7 linked regions of the Mus musculus genome follow. The protein of the gene in region 1 binds, or shares a complex with, the protein of each later gene. Links are inferred from orthologs where the notes say so. Each region holds a gene or a part of one and is shown in the gene's direction. Other genes may lie near its edges. The genes, in order: Ints6, Ints9, Ints12, Ints4, Ppp2ca, Ints1 and Ints7.

Region 1 (3,500 bases):
ATCTGGCTCCTATTTTTCCAGCTATTGTCATCACTCCAATTAAATGGCTGCAGCTAACAGACAGTGTAAACTGGCCATTAAGTCTGGTGTTTACTTGATAGATACCATAGTGTGGGATGTTAGAACTAGATCATTGGAACATTGTTGAAAGTGACCTAGCATGGGCTTAAGCCTCATAAAGAAGAAGGTGGAGGAGTTGCTGGAGTGAAAGTTGGTAGACATTGGTGCTACAGAACTTCATAAATTTGGAGCATGCAAGGGGAGTGCTTGGGGTCCTTGTTAAACTGCTTGTTATCATGCAAGTCAGGACTGGGCCACAAAGGAAGCATTTCAGAGGCTTTCCTGAGGCTTCCTTGTAAGAACCTCCTAGAATGTTAGGAGGGACTTACGAATGTACAGTGAACGAGGTGCCAGAGCATGTGCACTGAACTCAGTATGAAGAGAATTGTTCAAAAGTGCAGGAGTTTTTTTGCCTTTTTTTTTTTAATGGTTTTAGAGTTTTATTGTAGAAAGGCAGAGAGAAAGAGAGAAGGTAGAAAGAGAGAAGCCAGTCATGACCACGTGGAGAGAGGGGGAAAAGGAGAGCTAGAGATGAGAGTAAGAAAGTTGAGAGCGTAAGAGCTTTTTTTTGGTTTTTCGAGACAGGGTTTCTCTGTGTAGCCCTGGCTGTCCCGGAACTCACTCTGTAGACCAGGCTGGCCTCAAACTCGGAAATCTGCCTGCCTCTGCCTCCCAAGCGCTGGAGTTAAAGGCGTGTGCCACCACTGCCTGGCTGCTTTTTTCTTTATAAAGAATTAAATACAAGAGATTTTAAAATTACATTTAAGAGGTGAAAGAGTCAGTGACTATCTCACTTTTACACTCATGAGAAAGCAATTTCTACTCCACATTTGAGAAGGAGAGAAGTGGCTTGTTTGTTTTATTTTTTAAATAGGAGAGTGTGGTTTTCATTAAAGCAGAAATTACCGTGATTTTCAGCCTTAACCTTAGACAAAGGCTGAGAAACAGTTGTGGAGAATAATCAGTGAAGAAGTGTTTTCAAATCATGGGGTATAATTCAGAAAGTATGAGAGAGGGAGATGGAAGGAGTAGAAACCAGGTCTTTACATTGAGAGGTAGAATAGAAGGGTTTAGCTGGTGCCCTGGAGGCTGGTGAATAATCAAACTTAGGGGTCATGTCTAAGAATCTTATATTTATTGGCAAGCTAGTAAACTTTTGGGTCTGCTGGTCTAATGAGCTGAAGTGGGCACCAGATTACTTTGCATGGCTAGGAACTGAAAGGATAGATAGAAAACAGTGTGCTCTGAAATGTAATGTGCCTTATTTGGTGTTCCTTGCAGAATCTTGAGCAATAAACACCACTCAGTGTTTACTTTTCTCTTTAAAGAATAACAGGTTTATAAAGATAAGTAGGCTTAAGATGAGGTAGGTAGGACTCTTAAGCCAAAAATGGCAATTTTAGTGGTGTATAAACTGAAAACTGGTTTAGTTACTTTGCTAAAATAAGGTAGAAAACAGGCTACAGTTGTTTCTATTTTAAATATGTCATAAGTTTAAATTTTAGTTATTTGTAGTAATTGTGTTACTTTAGCATTTTTATTCTGTACTTTGATACCAGATCTCACTTTTCGTTCCGTTTCTTTGGTTTCATTTCAGAAGCCACTAATGATTCAATAGTAGATGATGTGGTTGAAAATCATGTTGCTGACCAACTTTCATCAGACATGACACCAAATGCTATGGATACTGAATTTTTAACATCTCCCCCTAATCTTTTGGAACCATCAACCAATCATACAGAGGCCCTTGGTCATGAACATTTAGGAAACAATGACCTCACTGTTGGTGGGTTTTTAGAAAATCATGAGGAGCCAAGAAATAAAGAACAAAGTGCCGAAGAGAATATACCAGCATCTTCACTCAACAAAGGAAAGAAATTGATGCATTGTAGAAGCCATGAAGAGGTCAACACTGAACTAAAAGCACAAATAATGAAAGAGATCAGAAAGCCAGGAAGAAGTATGTATAATTAGAGACAAAACTTACTAATTTCTTTGTCTTCAATTAGGGAAAACCAAGTCAAATCAGTAAAAGCATATGTATTATGCTAGATTACTCATGAAGTAATATCTGAATTCTTTAAGGTTTAATTTCAGATTCAGCTGGAAAACACTAAATAATCTTGGTACTCAAGGTGTTCTAGTATGGGTGGTAGATAGCAGAAAGTCTTTATCTAGAGATGTAGTACATGTACTTGCCATGACAGGGGCACAGAATCTTGACTGTTCTAACTAGGAATTGAAATTTTACAACAGCTAACCCAAACAGATAGGGTGGATAATACTACATGACTTGGTGTTCGGTTAACAGTGTATCTAAGAGGTAGAGCACCTGTATAGCCCAAATTCAATTCTCAACACTGTCTTGTGTGTTTGCAAAGTTCCTCTCTACTGACTGTCACTATGAATGAATTATGATAGTGACCTTCATCATGTGCTTAGGCTCCAAACCAAAGTCGTAAGGCCATCACATGAATGCAAGAGAACTCTCGTGGTACAAGAATTGTGCATAATATTGGCATCCATTCAGAACATAGCTGACTCTGCTGTGGTGGTGTAATAAGAAAGTGGAAGGGTCTTGAGCACACACACATACAAAGTGCTTAGAAGGTTTTATTTTTGGTGATACATACTTTCATGCACATACATGTTAACAGTGGTCTGTAAAAGCTTTGAAGAGTGGTAATATTTTTATGTAAAATATTTTTTGTCTGAGTATAGAGGCAGTTAATTGATTTTCCTTCTCTCTCTTTTTTTAAGAATATGAAAGAATCTTCACCTTACTGAAGCATGTGCAAGGCAGTTTACAAACAAGGCTAATATTCTTACAAAATGTCATTAAGGAAGCATCCAGGTAAAGAAACTTGTGTGTTTCTAAACAATAATGAAATAGTTTTTGGTTTGCATATATACTTGAATTGCATTAGTTAGGCAGTTGGGTTTATGTATGTGCATGGATTTGATTAATTGAAATGTGAATTAGCTTAAAAGAGGAAAAAATGGAAAAAAGTTGCACACGTCCCTTATCACTCAAAATATCAATGTAGAAAGGTAAAAGAAGTTAAAGATGTACAACACCACCAAAAAGCAATGGAGAAATTAATCAAGAATTTTAGAAGAATATAATAATTTACCAGGGAAAAGTCCATAATTTCTCAAGGATTTATGTGCCTACTTCAGCTTGGGCACACTTCTACTTGGAATGCTGAAGATAAGGCTATGTGTTTTCATATAAGTTGAAATACTTAAGTTATTCTACTTTTAATGAAAAGTCTGTTCTGTCTTTTGTTCAGTTCAAAGCATGCCTTGAATTTTTAGTGTTGTTCATTTTTGAGATAGCATCTTCCCACATAGCCAAGCTAGCCTCCATCTTAGGTTTCTTCTGCCTTAGTCTTCCAAATGCTGGAATTATAGGTATGTGCCCACATGCTAATGCATCT
Region 2 (3,043 bases), about 2.3 Mb from region 1:
ACGGAGTCAGTGAAGAGGCACTCACCAAGAGCCACACTTTCCTTCTGCCCTAGCCCCCTCCCAAGCCCACCCAGCCCACCAGCAGTAAGAAGAGGAAGCGGGTGAACGAGGACATTCCTGACTGCAAAGTACTGAAGCCTCTGCTGAGTGGCTCCATCCCCGTAGAGCAGTTTGTGCAGACCCTGGAGAAGGTGAGCTGGTGGCCTGCTCTGCCCCGAAGGGGGTGCTAGGATGTCATAGAACGAGGAGAGGCTCAAAATGAACTAAGCCAAAGAACATCTTCCTTCCTGGGCTGTCCCCAGTCTCTGCTCACCACCAGCCCTGTCTTCAGTCTCCAGCTCTGGAGCAGCAGGAATAGCACAGCACAGGCTGCCTGTCCTCCCTGGAGCCAGGCTGCCCACGGGAAGAGCACCACTGTCTGGGAGGGCTAGCATGTGAGACTGGAAGGTCAGCGATTCCGTTAGAGGTGGGTCGAAGAGACAGGCAAGAAGGAAGATGTTGTGCTATCATCTCAGTGGCTGTCTATCCTGTGGGCCCCAGTGGCTGCTTCTTTCAAGGGAGAGATTCTTTTGTGTAGGGCTGTTCTGCCTGCATATTTATCTGTGTACCCTGTGTATGCCTGGTGCCCACGGTGGCCAGATCCCCTGAAACGAGTTACAGTTGTAGCTGTCGCTTGGGTGCTAGGAGTGAAACCGTGGACCTCTCTCTGGAAGAGCAGACAGTGCTCCTGACCATGCAGCAGCCTCTCCACGCCTAAGGGAGACTCCTGACTACATCGGTGCAGGAGGCTGCGGAGAGCACTGCCTTAAAGATCTTTATAGTTTTGTCTCTGTCAATGTTAATGTCTCCACATAATCACCCTTACTAGGAAGAGGGGGATAGGGTGACGTTTTTTGTGCGTGGAACCTTTCATAAATAATACCTTTTGGTTGGATTCTGGCCCCGAAGATGGCATGGGGTATGCTTTGAGAAAACTCCAGTACCTGATGGCAGGGTTGGACATTCTCCAGCTAAGCCGTGATAACCACACTGTCTCAGCTGCTGACTTCTTTCAAGGTTCAAAAACAAGGCTTCCCGTTCCAGGCTCAGTTTTCTTTAGTTTTTGATTTCTCCAACTGCTCTTGAGATCTCCCCACCGTTCTGTAGATGAATAAAGGACCCCATCTCCCGTGAGGCTTTACGGGCTCCCGATAGGAGCCAGGGGTTTCAAGTTTCACATTTTTATTTTATTTTATTTTATTTTTTTAATTTTATTTTATTTTTTGGTTTTTCGAGACAGGGTTTCTCTGTATAGCCCTGGCTGTCCTGGAACTCACTTTGTAGACCAGGCTGGCCTTAAACTCAGAAGTCCGCCTGCCTCTGCCTCCCAAGTGCTGGGATTAAAGGCGTGTGCCACCACCGCCTGGCAATTTCACTTTTGAAAATTATTTGAAAGTTATTTCTCACAATAACTTGCTTTTCCACAGTGATCTTACCTTTTTCTCCTGCCTATAACTCCCTGTCTCACCTCCTTCGCAAGGCCGTGTGGGTGTCCTGCAGCAAAGGACAGGCAGTCCCTGCCTCAGGCTCTCTACTTGCTGTGTGTCTCATCCTGGTGACTCTAACTTAGTTGTAGTTCTCATTTATCAGTAAAGGTGGCTGGGAGATGCTGCCAGCCCCCGGGTGAGTGGTACCTCACTGTGAGGAGCAGTGCTTTTCCTGGGGCTCAGAACTGCAGAGACCAAAAGTAGGCAGGTGCCAGGACCAGCAACCAAGCTCTTCCCTGAGAACCTGAGAGGCTTGATGGACTCAGGGCCTCAGAAAGGGTGGAGGAATCTGCTATTTTCCTGAGAGTTTTGTGCGTGGGGCCTTTCATAAATAAAACCTCTTGGTTGGACTCTGGCCCCGATGTCAGAGCTGGGCTGAGTGTAAACGCCATAGTGAGTGCTCAGTCAGGCCTTGCTCTCAGAGGCACTGTCCTCCTCTTTTCTCTTGGAACAGCATGGCTTCAGTGACATTAAGGTGGAAGACACAGCCAAGGGACATATTGTCCTGCTGCAGGAAGCCGAGACACTCATCCAGATTGAAGAAGACTCCACTCACATCATCTGTGACAATGACGAGACACTGAGGGTCCGACTGCGGGACCTTGTCCTCAGGTTCCTGCAGAAGTTCTGAGTGGCATCCGTGACATCCTAGGCCCTTCACCCAGAGACAGTCTGGTGGTGTCCTATGACTTCCGGAGAGGAGAGGTGTCTCCAGCTAGGATCTGCCAGTGTGACTTCCTCGTACTGCTGACCCCAAGAACGTTTAGAGGCCTGTTCTTTTCAGTTCTGGGCTCCTGAGCAGCTATGGGTGACAACATGACAGACATCCTTTCCTAAGGGAAATGAAAAAAAAAAAATGCCTGGCCTGTGTTTTTGGGGCTCACAGGGGGTGACTCTCGGACTTACCCTCCTACAGTGCTACACCGTATAAAGGTCAGCCCCCAAATTAGAAGGCAAACCTATCTCGCTGTTCTGTGGCCCGTTTTGCTAAAAATAAACATTATTTTTATAAAAGTGCCCAGTTCTATTGCACTACAGTCTAAATAATGACTTAGTATCTGGGGGAAAAGTCTGCAGCTACACTCAGCAGTGAAAACGCCACAGCACATCTGCCACACCTCTGCCCTAATCATTAACCCTGTCTGCAGAAATGCAGATGCACCCAGTGCTGGAGGCTCATCCTCTGACACAGCAGGCTCGTGGCCCCCCTGGGCTCATAAGACCCTGTCTCAAGAAGCAGAAACAACCTGGCAGGCAGTTCATGGCCTTTTAATCCCAGCACTTGGAGGCAGAGGCAGGCAAATCTCGGAGTTCGAGGCCAGCCTGGTCTACAGAGTGAGTTCTACGACTGTCAGGGCTACACAGAGAAACCCTGTCTCAAAAAAGCAGCAGAAACAGTAAAGTCAGCTACATTTCAATTCTATGGAAAGGTACTTTGTACAAAAAGAACCCCCACTCGAGCCTAGAGGTTGAGGTGACTAAAGGGAGACTGGGAAGCCCCCTTTTGTCAATTCTTT
Region 3 (3,500 bases), on another chromosome or scaffold:
CTTAGAAAAAGAACTAATTCTGAGGTTCCCCTTAGAGTATTGCTGTTGACAAATTTTGTAGACTTACACCATAGGTTACCTAATTTATGGGCATTTCATTTGTGATGACAGAATTACATAGCAGTACTTTGCTTCCATTTTTCCAAAGAGAAAATATAAAGTAGTGCCTCTGTCCCGTTGTAAGTATTTGTGTAGGCATCACTATTTGCTCAGTAATCTGTAAGACAGACTGCCCTGGGTTAAGTAAACTAGTGTGTCTACAGCTACATAAAATAGGTCATAGAAAGGTTACACTGTGTTTTTCTAGCTGAAACAACAGGTTTACCTCTTTAATCATGGAAATTATAGTAAATGAATTTTCCTCATCAGTGCATTTTCAAATAATCCTCCTGTCATTCTTTGAGATACTATATGTAATATAATTTAAAGCAGCAGTGGAGCCGATTTCATTTTCTTAAATTCTCACTAATATAACTGAGGTGTGGTTACTTTTTCTTTCTAGAACTCTAGCCTTCAAACTCACTATCCAGGCAATCCAGACAGATCAGGGTTTAGTAGAACATAGAATTAGTAATAATTTTTAATTATCAGATACCTTTTTAGAAACTTATAAAAAGCCTGGTGTGTATGTGCGCGTGCATGTGTGTGTGTGTGTGTGTGTGTGTGTGTGTGTGTGTCTGTCTGTCTGTCTATCTGTCTGTCTGTCTGCGCAGGGTATGAGGAGGAAAACAGACGGTATAAGTGAAACCTATTTTCAGCCTGTGCTTTCATATGCCAAGATTCAATGTACAGCAAGTTTGAATGGCATTGTAAGCCCTTGAAAACGGGAGCTTACTGTGGAATTGGGGAGAGACCTTTAACTGTAGCTCTGTAGCTGTTTCATTACTATGCCTTTAAACTTAAGGATAGAAGAGGATTTAAAACCTCAGTATATCGATCAAAGAATTGGACACCAAGGGTATGTTTTTATTTTAATAATTCCTTGCCAAGAAGGTATTTGGAAGAAGGACAACCAGAAATAGAAGCACGTGATAACATTGGTATCAACTGAAAACAAAACTTGTGTGTTGAGAACTTTGCAGCCCTTTGATGTGTGGCTCCACTGTCTGGCCTGTTGTTTAAGCTCCTTAGGACAGCAGTGTTAGACCTGAGGGATCCATGCAGTAGGTAAGGATCATTGTTCAGAGACCTTGCTTTTGAGAAACAGCTTAATGCAAGAGATCCCTCCATCTAAATGCAATATAGAAAGACTGCCACTAATGCTTTCTGGGATATTAAAAATAACAGAGGACTGGGGAGGAAGGAAAATACACAGAAGCAAAACAAGAAACAGTTGTAAAAGCTACACAGCGACTGCGACATGAACCCGCTCTGTGATCCTATCCTTGCCCTCCCCGCCCCACACCCATGAACACAAGATCTCTATTTTTGTGGTAAAAATAAGACTTGAAAAGAGACATTTTAATGTGTAGTAAACTTGACTTAAGAGCAGGCAAGTTACGTGTCATAAGTTACAGATGTGTTATTAGAGATAACTAGGGAGATACCCTGTGATTAAAGATCTTGTCAGTATTAAAACTTTGTCTTTGTAAGGTGTGGTGGCAACACACCTCCAAGTTCACCAGTGCAGAGATGAAGGCAGGAAGATGAAATTGTCCAGCCTGAGCATATAGGGAGATCCTGTCTCAGAAATGTAGTGGATGTAGATACGTGTAAAGTTGGTAACATTCATTGTTCCAGAAGGGAGAAGGAAGTCAGATAATTTCTGTCCTTACTTTGTCTCTAGTAACCTTTCAGATATTTTAAAATATTATAAGCAAGAAAACAAAATAGATAAATGATATATTATTATACACTGTCTAAATTATTCCCCCTCCTGTTTTTTGTCTTTAGGTGTTTGCAATGGCTGCTACTGTGAACTTGGAACTTGATCCCATTTTTCTGAAAGCACTAGGTTTCTTACATTCAAAGAGTAAAGATTCTGCTGAAAAGCTAAAAGCGTTGCTTGATGAGTCTTTGGCTCGGGGCATTGATTCCAGTTACCGTCCAACTCAAAAGGTATCGACCTGAATACAAAGTTTGGAAAGTCTTGGAAGTGTTCAGTGATAACATTTAGATTGTCTCCAAATACTCTATGTAATCATTCCTTATGTCTCAAAGAAATTACATTCTTTAACTTTGTTCTCTTCCCTCATGCCTTCAAAGAACACCCGGAAATGTTAGTGTGGTCTAGAGCAATGGTTCTCAACTTATGGGTCACGACCATTTTGTAGGGGTTGCCTGAGTCTGTCTCAAAACATAGGTATTTACATTACAATTCATAACAGTAGCAAAATGACGATTATGAAATAACAATGAAAATCATTTTATGGTTGATCAGCACAGCATGAGGAACTATGTTAAAGGGCCGCAGCATCAGGAAGGCTGAGAACCGCTGGTCTAGAGCATATGCTATTTTACTACCTGGTGTGCAAAAATTCCTTCTTTGCAATTTAACTTCCAGTTCTTTATAACTATTTGTATGCTGTGAAAGGTATCCAAACTTATTTCTAATTACTCTGTAATGTTTTAAGGATCAAAATATAAGCAACACAGGATTTTTTTTTTTTGACAATGAATTAAATGTGGACAGGATGCTATAAGGGTAAATAAAGGCTGTAGATGACAAAGCCATGTAGCTCCTTTATTGGTAGTGAATGGCAGCAGTATGTGACAAGAGTGTGTGGTTCAGAGTCAGGAACACCTTTTGAACGTTCAGTTTACCTCTTGTAGTTGTGTGATACAGAATTACATACCCTGAAATGTTACAGTCTCTAACTAAGTCTTTCCTAAGTGGTTTGTGGCTATAATGAATTTTTGTGATAATAATCATCCCTGGAAATTAGTATTGCATATTTTTCTTACTTTACAGTGAGGAAACTGAATTTATTTCACCCAACCTTGGCAAAGTGAGGAGACTAAGAACTATCTTGTAGAATTGTAGAAATAACAACAAAATAAGTAAGTTAGCCGGAGTAGTGTCTACCTAGTACAGGCAGACTTTCAGCTAGAAGTTTTATACTATTCTAGATCTGAAACTCCAGGTAACCCAGGTGTGGAGACACAGCTGCCCAACTAAGACGGAAGACAACTATGGCTAGCTTGAGTCTGATCAGAATCTGAAGCATAAGTTATGGCTACAACCCAGCTGTAGTGTCCACAGCTTTCTAGAGTGTAAGCCTGCAAGAGAATGATCACAAAAGAGTTTGGGTGATAAAGGGTCTGTGGTTGCGGTGGCTGTCTCATCGACATGCACACCATGAGAACCTGAGATAGGTGCTGGTTCTGTCTCCGGTTTCCTAGTGAGGCCATGGTAGGAACGGTGGTAGATGGACTAGAGTATGGTATCTTGGTTTTTAACTGGAGACTGTTTAGGTCATTACTTTCTGTGCTTGTTTCTTTTCTCGGTGCTTTCTTCAGGACTTTCTACATGCTAGGCAAGCACTAAGCAGTAGACCCAG
Region 4 (3,500 bases), on another chromosome or scaffold:
AGTGTGTGTACTAAGGGCACGTCTGTATTCCAGCCAGAGGGCTTAAAGGTGTGTGCTAAGACTGAGCCACACCACAATTAGAAATAAGTAATTTCAGTAAATAACACAATCTCAGGTTCACAGTGTGATCAAATATCCTGCAATGGGTGTGGGTACGTCACAGATCATACCCACAGAACTTCTGAGCGAGTAGAAAGCTGTAACTGCAGTGCTTCTTTGTGTTTTAAGGTTAGCCACCCTAGCTGTACTTGTAGTTGCTTAGAAACTGATGACCAGTCCTCATCCGGCCTATACCAGTTAAGTCAGAATCCTGAGACTGAGCTCAGAGGTCTTAGTCTGATGGACACTTGTTTTGTTGTGTAAACAATCGCAGGTGGATTTACAGGTCATCTGCTAAACTATCCCGAAAAGAATTTACTCTAAAACATCTCTACTGCCTTCCAGGCAAACACTTGCCTGCATGGGGTGTAATGGGGATGCTTTCTGCCCTGTCATGAGACATCTGTAGCACTTTCAAAGTCCAGCTTCCTTACTCGGAACATCAGACAGAGGTGAAAACCTGCAACTGTCAGCGTGCCTTAGAGACTTCATGGAGGCTTTATTCTCCCTTAAAATTATGGATTTTCTTTGGTTTTTTTTTTTGTGTGTGTGTGTTTTTGCATTTTTTTAAAGTTTGTTTTAGCTTTTAATGGGTTCAGACAGAGGCTTTCTCTATTGCCCTGACTTCCCTGGAACTTTCTATGTAGCTCAGCCTGGCTTGGCCTGACCTGGCCTGGCCTCAAACTCACAGAAATCTGCCTGCTTCTGCCTCCCAGGTGGAGGGATTAAAGACATTTGCCACCAGGCCCAACCGGGTTGTCTATTTTTAATGCAGCTTCACTGAGAAAGCTTCGGGGCTCTGGGGCTTTGTCCCTCTCCTCCTCTCCACTCCTCACCTCACCTCTTAATACAGGATCTCACAGACCAAGCTGGCCTCCACCTTGCTATTTGAACGTCCAATCTTCCCAATTCCATCCCAAGTGCTAGGACTGCAAGCAGGGTGCTTGCACGTCTTTCCACAGTTAGCCCCATTCTCTACTGTCTGTTAATAGATACACCATTCCTATCATTCACTTACCAGGGAGCTAAGAAATAGTAGCTAGACACTGCTTCTGCTAGTGTGGCCCTACCCCCCCCCCCTTTATTTTCAGTTTTTTGAGACGGGGTTTTTCTGTGTAGCCCTGGCTGACCTGAACCTCTCTCTCTAAGCAAGGCTGGCCTTGAACTCAGAGCTCGCCTGCCTCTGCCTCTCAAATGCTGTGATTAAAGGTGTTTCTCCTTTAAGAAGCAGTTTTTATATAATGGCTACAGTCATCTTCCTGCTAATGATTTTGGGGACACAGTAGATGTTATCAGTTTTCTTAGCCCATCTATTTTCTGTTGCCCCATTTCTGTCATATTGTAGGTCTTATATCCAGATGGCCAGGCTCAGATGATCCACCCCAAGCCAGCAGATTTCCGGAATCCTGGCCCAGGACGGCACCGTCTCCTCACTCAGGTGTACCTCTCCCATACTGCCTGGACAGGTAAGAATGTGGGCTGGGTAGGCAGGAAATAAGTCCCCGATGATCTTTCCCATTGTGATTCGCTTGTTTGTTTGTTTGTTTGCGATAAGATGTCACTATTCCAGCCTTAGCTGGCCCAGAACTCTGTATATAGACCAGGCTGGCCTCCAATTCTGCCTGCCTCTGCACCTGCCTCCCCAGTGCTGGGATTAAAGGCATGTGCCACCATACCCTGAGTGAACTTGCTCTCATAAGTAAGGAAGCTCAAACATCTGTATATTTGGACTAATTTGCTGTTTGCACAAGGAAGACACTCAGAAGACTCTAACAGTGTGGAGACTCATGGGAGACTCATTCACTTCACACCAGGAAACTTGCTTTCTTGTGCTCACTGGGCCTGTGATATACATCATTCTCTCTCGAGTCTTCCTCTTCACTTCCAAAATGAAGATAATAATTCTCAACCCATAAATTACTGAGGATTATTCTGGAAATTAAAGTTTCGTGTTTCTTAACAGACATTATAAATCATTATCTCTTTGTATATGGACAGTCCAGCTTATTTCACTGAAACAAATCAAATAACAAGTAGCTGTCCTTCTGATCCCTATGAACTGTTTGGAGCTAATACAGGTGTTTAGTTTTACAGACTTAGAACTGAACCTGGATAGCTAATGTCTGTATGTGCACAGACAGACAGACAGACAGACAGACACACAATCTATAATCTGTAAGAATACAGTGGGAGAATACAGATGTGTAAAACTTTTACATTTCAGGCCTGTGAAGCTGCTTGGAGAACTTCAATCTGCAGGTCTTAATGGGCCTCAGTCGGTTACGGTGGTGTTTCTCAGTCACTGGGGAGAACTTGGGAATATGACTTTTACTAGGAAAGGGAATAATGCCACCAATTTGGTTTAATTAGTAGAGGAATACCATCTAGAATTTTATATTTTATTTTATGTTTTAATCTTTTTTTTTCCTTTAAAACAAGGCTTCTCTGGCTGTCCTAGATCACTTTATAGATCATGCTGGCCTTGAAATCACAGAGATCCGCTTGCCTCTGTCTCCTGAGTGGTGGGATTTAAGGTGTGGGCCATTACACCCAGGTTAAGAGTGTTTTGTTTGTTTATTTTAATTCTGAAAAAACAAAAAGGTAAAAAGCAGTTGAACACACTGCTATTAACCTCTGGCCTCTGACTCACACTTGTGGATATACATGTCCCAGTGCAAAGCATACATGCCGAACTATTTAGTGCCGTTAGAGGTTTCCTTCTGTCAGACCTGTTAGATGCATAGTGATGAAGTTATTATAAAGAGGTAGTTAGGGTAGCCCCTTCGTATTTCTGTGATCTAGGACCTGGCATTTCAGGGTACCCAGGCTCTGCTTCCCTGAGTGTTCTTTATTCTGTCTCTCTGTCTCTCTTCTTGCACTATTTGTGTGTTTGCCTTTCACTTTCTCTCCTCTCCCATCTTCCTGTGGCATTGGCTTGCACTGCCATTGTTATCAGACACCGGTGAGGGAAGGCAGAAAGACTCTGTTGGTCAGTACTATATGGCGTCCTCTGACTTGCCCAGGGTTTGGCTCCTTGAAAGTACTGTGACTGCCCAGGCACTTGTGATGTGCTGTCTGGGGTGGATTAGGAGTGTGAGGAGAAGGCTGATGCTGGTCTCGCCTGGCTCCACCTTGAGTGGAGGCTGTTGTGTTGGAGTAGCGCTTGTGTCATTGCTACACGCATGGCTGTGTCAGGCCCTGAGTGGTGGGTATGTTTGCTACATGGCCTGTAATGTGAGGCTCACATGGTGCTCATGCTGGCCTTAGTTGCCTGGAGGATAGCAGTCTAGTCTTTGCTCTGACCCTGAGAGACCAGAAATAGAGTTGGAGAGCCATTCGGAGGCCTGAGCCTTTGTGCTGTTTGATTTCAAGCCATCGAGCTCATTCTTGTCCTTTGAACT
Region 5 (3,957 bases), on another chromosome or scaffold:
GTGTCTTCTCCGGTGTGTGACAGGCTTGACTGTTCCCCACAGTATAGCTAGGTCAGCTCTTGCCTTGACCTTCATGGATAACCATCCTTTGGCTTCTCTCCCAGACTCTGGAGGGGAGCAGTGTATGACTTCCATCCATTCCATTCATTTCCAGCCAGGAACATTCAAGCTCCACCAGGGCAGTAGCCCCTTTCTGTCTGCATGACCCCTTTGTCCCCTAAGCATGGGATCTGGTCAACAGTTGATGCTCTGTAGAGCCAAGTATCTCTGTGAATGCAGACAGTGCAATGTGAACACGTTTCACAAGCCTCAGAAGAGATTTATAACCAGGTCGAAGGCTGATCCTTAAGAATATCAGCTTCCTTTACAGAACACACGGTAGCTGCTTCTACCAGTACCAGAACACAGCCCTGGCTTGTTCCTCTAGAATGTAGGACAAGATTATTTCCAGTGGGCACAGGTCTCGGAGAAAAGTGCACACCAGAGGTGTTGAAGGCCACAGGAGAGGAAGCAAGGCTTAGGAAGAGGCCAGGATCGAAGGCCCACTTCGGCCCCGCCTTCGTGCAGGGACAGGTGTGTGCTGGGGGTGTAAGGTGCGCGGGCGACACATCCCAGCAGGTACACCTTCCTTCGCCCACGAATGACCTAATTATAGGAGCCTGCAACGGCCAGAGGTGGGGAAGGTCACTCCAGGCAACCTGCCACTAGGCTTGTCCCCAAAGGTGTGTGACTCCCTTGTGGTTCCCAGGGCTGCTGGACTAAGCGCCTTAGGGTTGCCTTTAGTCATCAGGCTGGCAGAGCCCAGACCACATCTGAGAGGTATCACCCAGAGGCCTTCCAGAAACACCAGGTCACAAGGAATAAAAACCTCGCCTACACGGACTGCTCATGCGCCGAGACCGCGCAGGCGCCCTGCGGAGCCTGGGACGCCAGGATTAACCAGCACTGCGCTTGCTCGGACTCGCTTCTTCCCTTCCCCCGCCGCCCTCCCAGCGGGAGGACCACGCCCCAAGAGCGAAGCCACTTCCTTCGGCAGCCAACTCCGCTGCGCTTGCGCCCCGGCTCCACGGTGCGCAGCTCTGGGTCCCGGCCCCACTCCGTCGCCCTCCCCGCGGCTCCCTGACGCTGGCGTGACGTCACCACGCCGGGCGGCCGCCATTACAGAAAGCCGAGTCCCGAGCTAGGGCGAGCGGAGGAGGAGGCACAGCGGCCGGCGGCCGAGCACTGCGGAGCGAGCCAGCGGGCCGGCGCCAGCGCCCAGCAGCCGCCTGGGGCCGCAGAAAGCACCCCGGGAGAGCGGCGGCGGCGTGTGCGTGTGGCCCGGGTGCGGGCGGCGGCGCGGGAGCAGCGCGGAGCGGCAGCCGGTTCGGGCGGGCGGCATCATGGACGAGAAGTTGTTCACCAAGGAGCTGGACCAGTGGATCGAGCAGCTGAACGAGTGCAAGCAGCTCTCCGAGTCCCAGGTCAAGAGCCTCTGCGAGAAGGTGAGCTGCTCTCGGCCGCGGGTGCGGCCTCTGCCCGGGCCCGCCTATCAGGAGGCCGCGGGGACGGTGCAACATGGCGGCACGGAGGCCAGACCCCCGAACCTAGCAGCCCGGCGCCCGGCGCTGCCTGCGGCGACTCGCGAGGGACCCGGCGCCCCCCGCCTCCCGCGCGCTGATTGGATGGCGCCGCCACCGCGGCCTAAAATGGCGCCGCGCGCCGGACTCCGGGCTTCGGAGCCTCCGGGCCGAACCCGGCCCGACCCTGGGAAGTGGGGCGGCCGGGACCCTCGGTGGCCCGGCGAGGGACTGGCTGGGCTTTGCGCCCGGGAACGGGTTCCGGACTCATGGAGTCAAAGCATTGCGCTTGCACTCGGGCTTGCTTCGTGGAGCGGGCGCTGCCCACAGGGTCCCCCACAGCAGGGCTTGTAGGCCAGACCCCAGCGCCTATGGAAAGGTCACCTCGCTTTCCTGTCGGTCTCCACGCCTCGGCTTCCCCGGAGCCCTGTTTAAAGTGTGTGTTTAACGATTATGAAGGGAGTCGCTAACCCAGTTCCTACGAAGGTCATAGTGGTAGTTTGAAGGGAGGAATATAAAGTTTTCTTAGTTGGACAAATGGAGGATTTGGTGAGTCATACTACAACGAAGAGCTTTGGGATTGGAAATACAGTGTCACATTAATTTATGATGTATATGCTGACTCAAATTGGGTAGTGTGAAACCCTTCTGTGTGTAACGTACTTGGCGTGGAGCCATTTATTTTTGAATGAGCAACATAAACGGGAAGAGAGTCAAATTTTTTATCCTCTCTGGTTGCAAAAGTTTCTTGGATTGTATTTTTGTGGCTACAATCAGCAGTAGAAATCCCCGTGTTGACCGATTTCTCTATTTCAGACATGGAACTGAGTCCACTCCTTGAAGTGATAACTCGGTATCTCAGGTTATCTCATTCCATTGGTTTTCTCCAAGAATTGGGGAAGCAAGTTGTTCATGTTGTATTCTTGAAGTCTTAATTAATGCAATTTTCTATTAGAAAAATGTGTCTCCACTTCATTTTAGCTTTTCTTTTCAGGGTTAATTTAACATTTAATTTTAGTGCAGAATTATGGATTATGTTAGTAATTTGTGTTAGCAGGAAGAACTTTTGGAGCACAGAAGATGCTCATTCTTTTGTGGCTTGGTGTAGAAAGGAGATTCTTGAGGTTGAATATTTTCTGATGACACAATTTTTCAGAAAATGCTGAAAACCATTTTGGTTAAGTCAAATGTAGATTTATCCCTTCCCTCCTTCCTTCCATCCCAAGTATCCCTGGCTGCCCTGGTACTGGTTATGTAGAGCCAGGGTAACTTTGAACTTGTGACATTCCTTGTGTCTCTGCTTCCTCAGGTGCTGGGATGACGTGTGTGTATGTGTGTCTGTCTGTGTGTTATAACACGCCCCACTTGAATCTCTAGTGTTTTGATCTTTGTTTCTCTCACATCAAACAAGGTTGGTATTTTTAAGGTTTAGAAGTAAGCCTTTTAAATATTACTTAGTAAATCTTGCCAGGTCTCAGTCTCTAATTGCTGACTCGGAGTGAAGGGCTTTATGTGGACATTGGATGACTAGTCATTTGTGTGACCACTCATTGGACTGTTCGGTAGACCTGGACACAATTACTTTTCATTTCCCAACTGAGTGATTGTAACTGGCTTTTTCAGGTAAACGGTTTATTTGGTCCTTGTTTCTGTACTTAAAAATAGTTAACACATGCTCCAAGATTACATGCTCTTAAGAAGGCAACCAGAACACAATGAAGAATATGTTATGCATATTTTCAAGGAACTTTTAATCTAGTTGGAAAGACTAGGGTGGCATTGTTAACTTGACCCTCGAGAGCAGTGGTTCTCAGCCTTCCTAATGCTGTGACCCTTTAATACAGTTCCTCATGTTGTGGTGATCCCAGTCATAAAACTATTTTGTTGCTACCTCATAACTGTAATTTTGCTGCTGTTTTGAATTGTAAATATCTAGTAGTGTGCAGGATACCTGATATGTGACCCCTGTGAAAGGGTCGTTCTGGTCCCCCAAAAGAACTGCTGCTGTAGAGTTACCTGGATAGGAAGTCTCAGAAATTGTCTACCTAGCAGATCAGGTTGGCTTGTGAGTATGTTTAGGAGCATCTTCCTTATGTTGAGATGGGAAGACACACCCACTGTGGATGGCACCATTCCCTAGATTGGGAGGGAGGGGTTCTCAATTGTGTAAGGGTGGGGGGAGCTCCCTATGCAAAGGTCCCCAAATGACCTGAGTTTGGCCCCTTCCTTATAGGACTACATGGTAGAAAGAACATACTCCTTCAAGCTGTCCTCTGAGGTACACACACAAGTAAATGTTACAGTGTGAACATGCATTCATTGCTGAGTTTCTCATGAGGTGATATGAGCACCTCTCTCAGATTCCTGCAGCTGTGACTTCCCTACTGGGATGAACTAG
Region 6 (4,237 bases), on another chromosome or scaffold:
TGTGGTTTGCCAGCATCCTACATAGGTTCTGGGGGACGCTGCCCAACCTTCCCCAAAGGGTCCTCAGCAGGGCTCAGGCTGAGCTGGGTTCCACTGTCACTGGGTTAGGATCTACTGGAGTAAACAGACTCCCCGCCATTTTGTTTGATTTTGCTTTTGTTTTGGGTCAGAGTCTGTCTATGTGGCTCCAGCTGTCCTGGAACTCACGGAGATTCACCTGCCTCTGCCTCCTGAGTGCTGGGATTAAAGGTGTGTGTGACCACACTGTGACAACTCATCCCTTTTTAAAATCTAAATTTTATCTATTGTTATTGTGGGTATGAGTGTGCATGATGTGAATGTACAGCCATGCACACCACAGCACACGTGTAAGTCAGAGGACAAATTTGTAGAGTTGGCTCAGCAAGCTCTTTCACCTACTGACCCATCCTGCTTACCCTGACATACTGTTATTGTAGCCCTGGCATCACAGTAAGAAAGACCCTGAACTGCAGGCACTGACAGGTATGGGAGGTGCGCTCCTGGGGCTGAAAACCAGCTCTCTGCCTGAAGCTCCCTTTGTGCCACAATGTTCAAACACATCCTTTATTCAGCCCACAAATGTTTACTATATAGCTCTGGGCTTGCTGGCACCAAGGAGGCTGGCCATCATGGGGACAATCCATTAAGGGCGCTTGAGGGTCTTGGGCTCCCAATCCTAATTCTATGACCTTGGAATGTCTATCTGTCTGTCTATATGTGTATAGATACACTCAGACATTCACACACATACATAAACACACATACATATATATGTATACACACATACATGTACACACACACAAACATGGTCTCGGGACCATGTCTGGAATTTTGTCTTTGTCCCAGCAGCTGGACAATCTATCTGGGACTTCCTTAGAGGAGACCTGCAGTACCTATCCTGATAGCTCCATGTAGAGGTCTCCATGGAGAGGGAGGTACCCAAATCAGGTGAATCCAGAGGCCATTGACAGAGGTACCCAAATCAGGTGAATCCAGAGGCCATTGACAGAGGCCTTCAACATTTTAGAGCATGTATCAATATGAAAGTAGGATTTTGACTTTTTTGTTGTTGTTGTTTTTTGAGAAAGGGTTTCTCTGTATAGCCCTGGCTGTCCTCGAACTCAGAAATCCGCCTGCCTCTGCTTCCCAAATGCTGGGATTAAAGGCGTGCGCCACCACCGACCGGCTGGATTTTGACTTCTTGAGCTAGGATCAGATTTAGCTCCAAAACCGTAAGAGGGAACAGTTTATGCCCAACAAGCCCAGCTTTCAGACAGGCATAGGTCCATCCAGCCTCCGGCCGCCAGAGGGCGGTGCAAACACTAGTAGGCTCTGCCTGCCTCTCTCCTCTCTTCCTCGCCTTCGGGTTTGTTTTACTTCCGGTTATGTGAGAAATCAGCGCTCGGAAGGCTCGCAGATCAGTTTGCACTTCCGGAGCGCCCGTGTCTCGGGTCTGCAGAGTGCTGCACCGGAGGTGAGGGGCCTTTGCACCCAGGTGAAGTCCGCTCCCTGCGGTGACATCCGTCTCCGCAGTCGGCCGCGTGTGTGCCGCACTTGGCCCCTTTCTGTGACCCCGGTAGGCGGCCCTGGGCACTCGGTCCAGTGGCCCCGGTGCGAGGGATGAATGACTGAGCGAGCGAGTGACTCCCGCCGCCTCCTCCCAGGTGAAGGCGCTTCCTCTAGGGGCGCCCGGGCCGCGGGGAGGATGAATCGAGCCAAGCCCACCACCGTACGGAGACCCAGCGCGGCCGCCAAGCCCTCAGGTGCGTCCCTGCGCGCGGCGACCTCGAGACGGTCAATGAATGGGTTCCATGAAGGCCGGCATGGCCACTGAAGGGGTTCCTACGGGACATAGTTAACTTGGGACTGTTGGGAGAGCGTGGGCATCCAACACAGCAGGACAACGGTCATCCAACCCAGGCTTCCTGCATACATTGCTGTCCTGAGGGGCTCCTAAAGGACAAGGGCATCCTTGTCCTGCTGAGCATCTGGCAAGGACAGGGTACCTGGACCAGAATCACAGTCTCTGAAGCCGGATAATCTAGACTGGGGTCCTAAAGTTTCTTCTTGCTAACTGTGTGACACTGGCACATTACTTAACTTCTGTCTATTTTGTTTTGTCTTGTTTTGTTTTGGTTTTTTCGAGACAGGGTTTCTCTGTGTAGCCCTGGCTGACCTGGAACTCACTCTGTAGACCAGGCTGGCCTTGAACTCAGAAATCCTCCTGCCTCTGCCTCCCAAGTGCTGGGATTAAAGGCATGTGCCACCAGTCCCCTGCCTAACTTCTGTGTCTTTATTTGTAAAACGAGGGTCATAACTTTTGAAGAAGCCCGGTGAGAATTAAGTAGACAGTGCTTATGAGTTACAGATGGCTTAGTTTCTAGTCAGCACTGGATCAGCGTCAGCCATCGCTTGCTCTGCCAGGGTGGTTGGACAACCTCAGGCTTTACTTTTGTCTCTTGGGGGCCCACTCTGAGATTGGGTATCACAGGTGTGGGTTTTCTGTTCCTCTGCAGGGCACCCTCCCCCTGGGGACTTTATTGCTCTGGGGTCCAAGGGTCAGGCCAGTGAATCAAAGACAACGTCCACCCTGCTGAAGCCAGCCCCTTCTGGGCTACCCTCAGAGCGCAAGAGAGATGCTTCAGCTTCTCTGTCTGGGACCTCTGCGCTGACCGGCCTCACTAAGCGCCCCAAACTGTCCTCCACTCCCCCACTGAGCGCCCTGGGACGTCTGGCTGAAGCCGCAGTTGCAGAGAAGCGAGCCATTTCTCCATCGATTAAGGAGCCATCTGTGGTGCCCATTGAAGGTAAGATCAGACTGCCAACTTCCCCAGAGAGATTCCTTCATCCTGTCCATCTGCCCAGTGCCCGTGGGAGCCACTTCCAGCCTGGTTCTGTTAGCGTAGTGGGGTCTTGGCTTCCTGTGGGCTCGCTGCCTGGCATTGTGAACAGATGCACCTCCCATTCCCACAGTGCTCCTGGTTCCTCGTTCCATCATTTATCTGGCCTGTGTACAGCCTGCCCCTGGTTGTGACAGCACTGTTCTGAACCGTGCTGGGACAGGTGCGCAGGCTGTGGTGGCATCTAAGTGGTTCTAGCCCGGTCCTCCAGTGGAAGGGGATTCTTTGCTCACTGTCTTTGCCTCCAGGACAGGGAGCATTTTGGTGCCATTTTCCAGGTAGAAAATAGGTCCCCCAAGTACCAAAGAGACCTCAGAGGAGAGACGAGTGTCCCTGAAGTTGTGCAGGGGTCTGACCTTCTCCTCCTTCTTGTCATTTATCCCATGACTTCTTTGACAGTGCCAGGATTGAGCCTAGGTCCAGATGCACACAAGGCAAGTGTTGTAACCACTGAACTCTACAGCCCAGAGCCCCTCAGTGACTCATAGCAGCTCCATGATGCCTTAGCATAGACCTGTCACCCGCTAGCTATGTGCCAGCCTCTGAGCACCTAACATTCCAGTAGCAGACGCCACTGTCTGCGTGTCTGCTCCGAGCCTTTCTAAGGGACTCCTTCCTGAGAGCCAAAAAGGACAAGCATCCTGTCCTCTAGCCTTTAATGAAGCTGTATCTCATGAAGCTACGTTGTCCCTTGGTACTGAGATGTCATTTGAAAGGCTCAGAGGGTGCCTGTTACCTCAGCTGCTTAGGAGACTGAGGCAGGCAGATGAAAAGTTCAAGGTGAGCCTTGGCCACTTCTTAACTTGACCCTGTATGACAGTAAAAAAGTAAATTGAGGGATATGGATATAATTCAGTGGTAGAGCCCCTGCCTAGAATCCCCCAGTGAGGGGCTGGGGTGTGGCTCAGTGGTAGAGCCCCTGCCTAGACTCCCCCAGTGAGGGGCTGGGGGCGTGGCTCAGTGGTAGAGCTCCTGCCTAGAATCCCTCAGTGAGGGGCTGGGGGCGTGGCTCAGTGGTAGAGCCCCTCCCTAGACTCCCCCAGTGAGGGGCTGGGGGCGTGGCTCAGTGGTAGAGCTCCTGCCTAGACTTCCCCAGTGAGGGGCTGGGGGTGTGGCTCAGTGGTAGAGCCCCTGCCTAGAATCCCCCAGTGAGGGGCTGGGGGCGTGGCTCAGTGGTTGACCGGCTGTCTAGATTCCCTCCTTGAGCACTTGCCAGCATTTCTGAAGCCATTTGTTGAGGAAAACGACACAGACTCTGGTGTATGGTTTCTGGGAGCTCAGAGCCTCCGTGTGCTGGTGAGGCCCATCTGTGTTGC
Region 7 (3,555 bases), on another chromosome or scaffold:
AGGTGGAAAGTGATTGAGGAAAAGCACCCAGCTTTGACCTCTGGCCTCCTACTCATGTCCTCACACATACACACTTGCATGTCCACATGCACATACCCACACTAGCAAGCATATAATGTGCACACCCACGTGCACACACGAACATACACGATCATTTCATCATCACAGTTTTAGGTAGGAAGCTGAAGGAGGACTGGTGTGGCCTCTGTCTCACTTTCTTCAGTGTTGTCCTCTCAGCCTGCAATCTGCTCACTGTTAAGGCTTGGTCTCCATTCTCTTCCTTTCTTTTCTTTGATTAATGCAGCCCTTAGCCACTCTATAAATATTTGTTGAGTGATAAACGGTGGGCTGTGTCTAGAACACTCCCGTTATGGCTGGGTGATCTCAGATGTTGCTGGGAATTGTGATGAGAATTCATGTGGCTTGTCCCAGTTTGCAGGTGTCTCCCAGCACCCTAGACTCCAGGGCCTGGCTCCTGGAGAATACTGAGTAAGCAACTCATGCTGGTTTAACAATTCTTGTGTTCTAGATTCCCATTGATAGCATGACCAATGAGATGGAGCAGAGGGTTGAGCCACATAATGATTACTTCAGCACCCAGTTCCTGTTGAACTTTGCTGTCCTTGGAACGCACAGCATCACAGTGGAGTCATCGGTGAGAGATGCCAATGGCATCGTCTGGAAGACTGGCCCCAGAACTACTATGTTTGTCAAATCCCTGGAAGACCCCTACTCCCAGCAGATTCGCCTACAGCAGCAGGCCCAGCAGCCTTTGCAGCCACAGCCACAGCCGCAGCCGCAGCCTCGCAGTGCCTACACCCGGTTTTAGCTGTGCTACAAGCATACTACTGCCACACTGCACAGCCATCAGACTACAAGAAGAGTCTTCCGCATGTGCATTAAGTGTCAATGTTACAGTGTGAAATCCAGTATTCACTGATAGCTGTAATGTAACATTCTGGTGAAGTTGTTTTTGTTGTTGTTGTTGTTGTTTTCTTAAAAATTTAGTGTAAGAAATAACCTGGCTCTCAGCCAAAATAAAAGTGCTTTTTTTTTTTTTTTTTTTTCGAGACAGGGTTTCTCTGGGTAGCCCTGGCTGTCCTGGAACTCACTCTGTAGACCAGGCTAGCCTCAAACTCAGAAATTCACCTGCCTCTGCCTCCCAAGTGCTGGGATTAAAGGCGTGCGCCCAAATTTCTTAAACCCAGTCTTCTGTCTCACACTTAGCATTTTTGTTGTATTATTCTTTGTGGTTGGTGAGCTTTTCTTCTTCCAAGAATAGTCACAGATCATTGGTAAATTTGACTGTGTCTCTGTCTACCAGAATTATTGTGCTGACTGGCCCGACCTGGGGTTTTGAGGCAGGCAGGGAGTACTGTTGAGTCGTGCAGTGCTTGTCCTGGGCTGGAGAATGAGGCCTTCACAGAGGCCGCACCTGCCTTCTGGTCTGTGGGAGCCTGTGGGCCACAGGCTCAGCGGCCTGCTGCATTGGCACCTCTTACCCACCTTCTGTCCTGAAGCAATGTTAGTTTATTGTTTTGGTCTTTGATTGACCCAAAAAACAGCTCCAGCTAGAAAGGTTGGAAATGAATGTGTTGTTTTTTCTGGTATGTGACTAGTGTGGACTTCTGATATTTTTTTTCTACAAATGGAATGTGGTTCACATATGTCTTCCTGTTTGATGTAAAGGGAACAGATCCTTCCCCGCTCTGGTTTCTACTAGATGACGTATTACTCTACACCTGATGTCTAGACAGCTATCTCCGAGACGTAACCTCAGCTGGGATGCTCAGGGAACAGACTCTGGCTAGCCAGAAAAGCCCTTTTTCTACTTGAGTCATGGTCAGAAACTACATGACAACACACTGATTCTAGGTTTGATTTAACAGTTGACTATGGCTGCTCAGTGCTTTTGGACCACGGTTAATATGATGAGCTGAGCCTGCCGATACCCCCTGTGGTCATTGGTGTTGGGTGCAGTGGGCTGCTAAGGGCATGAGCCCTGGATTTCCCTGTGTAAATAAATCTCCTAATTTCTTTGCTTGTGTTTTACCTTTTTTTTCTCTTCAAAGTCATACTGATTCATAAGAGGACTTGACTTTTTTTAAATGGAGTTTGGTTTTTGTTTTTTCCTGTCGCATCACCCCAGGGACTGAGAAGTGATCGACAACTTGGGTTCCCCTGAGGTCACTTTGCTTTGTGAGATGTTACCTCTGCATAGCCCATTCTGCTTGTCATAGTCTGTGCAAGTCTACTGTATCCACTGTAAGTGACCTCCCCCCCCAGCCACCTCAGTGCACATGGTGCACAGTCGGCACTTGGTCAGCGTCTGGGGACTGATGCCAGAGTGCGAGGGAAGACCCGTGCGGAGCCCGTGTCCTTTGCTGGATATGGAAAGAGCTGAGTCAATGTTCCACTTTGGGCTCAGCAGTGAGTCGCGTGTCTCTGTAGAGTCAGCCTCTTAGCAAATGACTGAATTAGGCTAGGTCTCTCCACTCTAACTCAGCTTTATCAGGCAACTGGATTAAAAAAAAAAAAGATAGTGGTGAAGAAAATTGGGGAAAATGCCAGAGATTGAACTTGGTTGAGGACCCAAGTCCCACTTACTCTGTCACCGGCCTGACTTAGCACCCAGAGGAAGACCCTTTTTTTCTTTCTTTCTTTCTTTTTTTTTTTTTTGGAAGACGGGATCCAGGATCTCTCTGTGTAGCCCTGGCTGTCCAACCACTTGCTTATAGACCAGACTAACCTCTAACTCAGACTGCCTCTGCCTCCTGAGTGCTGGGATTAAAGGCGTGTGCCACCACGCCCAGCCTGTCCTTTTTCACTCTTAAGTAGCTGATATTGTAGAGTGAGTTGCAGGTCTCTGGCACTGTTACACAGTAGATTCCAGAAAGAATGTAAATCTAGTAAGACACTCATTTCTTTTGTGGCCCTCACATTTTATGTTATTAAGATGTTTTGATACTTGTGGTTATAAACTCTTGGATTCCATGTACTGTGGTGACCCCCAGACCCCAACAGACTTAGAAAACAAATAAAAGCAGGTCCTGATCGTTGAGTGTGAAAGTAACTGAAGCAAACCGGACTCTGTCCAGAAGACCCAGGAGTGGCATTGTCTGGCTGTATGTTCACTGTAGTGGGTTGTTTTTAAATCAACCTTTAAGTAGTTACTCAGGAAGAAGATTGTGTTAAAAATTTGACACTAAAGGATAATCCCCCCCAAAAAAAGATAAGCAGGCTGGGTAGGAAATCAGTGTGTTTCCCTGTTTGGTAATTGCCTTTCAGAAGGCAGGCCTGCTTTCCTTGGTACTTACTGAGTTCTGTGTAAGTAGGTGAGGAGAACATAGTCTTTGCACCTACACTGCCCATGTTCAAACTTTACCTACGTTTGTGACCTTAGAAAAGCTACGTACTGTGTGTCATAGGGTTATTAATGCTGTGCTGAAACACCAGGATCAAAAACAACTGGAGAGGAAAGGGTTTGTTTGGCTCACTTATCCTGAAGCCACAGTAGTAAGTCCAACAGCAGGAACCTGGAGGCAGGAGCTGATG

Evidence for each region.
Region 2: Ints6 (region 1) and Ints9 share a complex: the UniProt entries of both Homo sapiens proteins name them as parts of the integrator complex. The link is inferred for Mus musculus from reciprocal best matches to the Homo sapiens genes INTS6 and INTS9.
Region 3: Ints6 (region 1) and Ints12 share a complex: the UniProt entries of both Homo sapiens proteins name them as parts of the integrator complex. The link is inferred for Mus musculus from reciprocal best matches to the Homo sapiens genes INTS6 and INTS12.
Region 4: Ints6 (region 1) and Ints4 share a complex: the UniProt entries of both Homo sapiens proteins name them as parts of the integrator complex. The link is inferred for Mus musculus from reciprocal best matches to the Homo sapiens genes INTS6 and INTS4.
Region 5: the proteins of Ints6 (region 1) and Ppp2ca are in contact, whole or in part, in a cryo-EM structure (PDB 8RC4), measured with the Homo sapiens proteins. The link is inferred for Mus musculus from reciprocal best matches to the Homo sapiens genes INTS6 and PPP2CA. Residues at the interface, in NP_036273.1 of Homo sapiens: Leu20, Gly21, Thr22, Asp26, Lys29, Gly30, Glu33, Lys78, Asn79, Gln81, Asp575, Glu576, Asp577, His580, Ser581, Val582, Pro583, Ile584, Ala585, Met587, Gly588, Asn589, Tyr590, Tyr593, Leu594, Met626, Met627, Ile628, Asp629, Glu630; in NP_002706.1 of Homo sapiens: Arg89, His118, Val126, Tyr127, Pro172, Trp200, Pro203, Asp204, Asp205, Arg206, Gly207, Gly208, Trp209, Ile211, Pro213, Arg214, Gly215, Tyr218, His241, Gln242, Leu243, Val244, Met245, Glu246, Tyr248, Asn249, Trp250, Cys251, His252, Arg254.
Region 6: Ints6 (region 1) and Ints1 share a complex: the UniProt entries of both Homo sapiens proteins name them as parts of the integrator complex. The link is inferred for Mus musculus from reciprocal best matches to the Homo sapiens genes INTS6 and INTS1.
Region 7: Ints6 (region 1) and Ints7 share a complex: the UniProt entries of both Homo sapiens proteins name them as parts of the integrator complex. The link is inferred for Mus musculus from reciprocal best matches to the Homo sapiens genes INTS6 and INTS7.

Annotation. Positions count from the first base shown.
Region 1 is NC_000080.6:62,695,113-62,698,612, reverse strand, and holds part of Ints6 (integrator complex subunit 6), read left to right. Parts: intron 1-1,657; coding exon 1,658-2,020; intron 2,021-2,820; coding exon 2,821-2,914; intron 2,915-3,500. UniProt on the Homo sapiens protein: Component of the integrator complex, a multiprotein complex that terminates RNA polymerase II (Pol II) transcription in the promoter-proximal region of genes.
Region 2 is NC_000080.6:65,037,293-65,040,335, forward strand, and holds the end of Ints9 (integrator complex subunit 9), read left to right. Parts: intron 1-53; coding exon 54-191; intron 192-983; exon of another isoform or gene 984-1,140; intron 1,141-1,980; coding exon 1,981-2,157; 3' UTR 2,158-2,543; downstream 2,544-3,043. UniProt on the Homo sapiens protein: Component of the integrator complex, a multiprotein complex that terminates RNA polymerase II (Pol II) transcription in the promoter-proximal region of genes.
Region 3 is NC_000069.6:133,094,855-133,098,354, forward strand, and holds part of Ints12 (integrator complex subunit 12), read left to right. Parts: intron 1-1,893; 5' UTR 1,894-1,902; coding exon 1,903-2,058; intron 2,059-3,500. UniProt on the Homo sapiens protein: Component of the integrator complex, a multiprotein complex that terminates RNA polymerase II (Pol II) transcription in the promoter-proximal region of genes.
Region 4 is NC_000073.6:97,536,456-97,539,955, forward strand, and holds part of Ints4 (integrator complex subunit 4), read left to right. Parts: intron 1-1,444; coding exon 1,445-1,565; intron 1,566-3,500. UniProt on the Homo sapiens protein: Component of the integrator complex, a multiprotein complex that terminates RNA polymerase II (Pol II) transcription in the promoter-proximal region of genes.
Region 5 is NC_000077.6:52,097,667-52,101,623, forward strand, and holds the start of Ppp2ca (serine/threonine-protein phosphatase 2A catalytic subunit alpha isoform), read left to right. Parts: upstream 1-1,157; 5' UTR 1,158-1,382; coding exon 1,383-1,484; intron 1,485-3,957. UniProt on the Homo sapiens protein: Catalytic subunit of protein phosphatase 2A (PP2A), a serine/threonine phosphatase involved in the regulation of a wide variety of enzymes, signal transduction pathways, and cellular events.
Region 6 is NC_000071.6:139,772,879-139,777,115, reverse strand, and holds the start of Ints1 (integrator complex subunit 1), read left to right. Parts: upstream 1-1,437; 5' UTR 1,438-1,645; coding exon 1,646-1,784; intron 1,785-2,537; coding exon 2,538-2,828; intron 2,829-4,237. UniProt on the Homo sapiens protein: Component of the integrator complex, a multiprotein complex that terminates RNA polymerase II (Pol II) transcription in the promoter-proximal region of genes.
Region 7 is NC_000067.6:191,620,636-191,624,190, forward strand, and holds the end of Ints7 (integrator complex subunit 7), read left to right. Parts: intron 1-529; coding exon 530-829; 3' UTR 830-3,055; downstream 3,056-3,555. UniProt on the Homo sapiens protein: Component of the integrator complex, a multiprotein complex that terminates RNA polymerase II (Pol II) transcription in the promoter-proximal region of genes.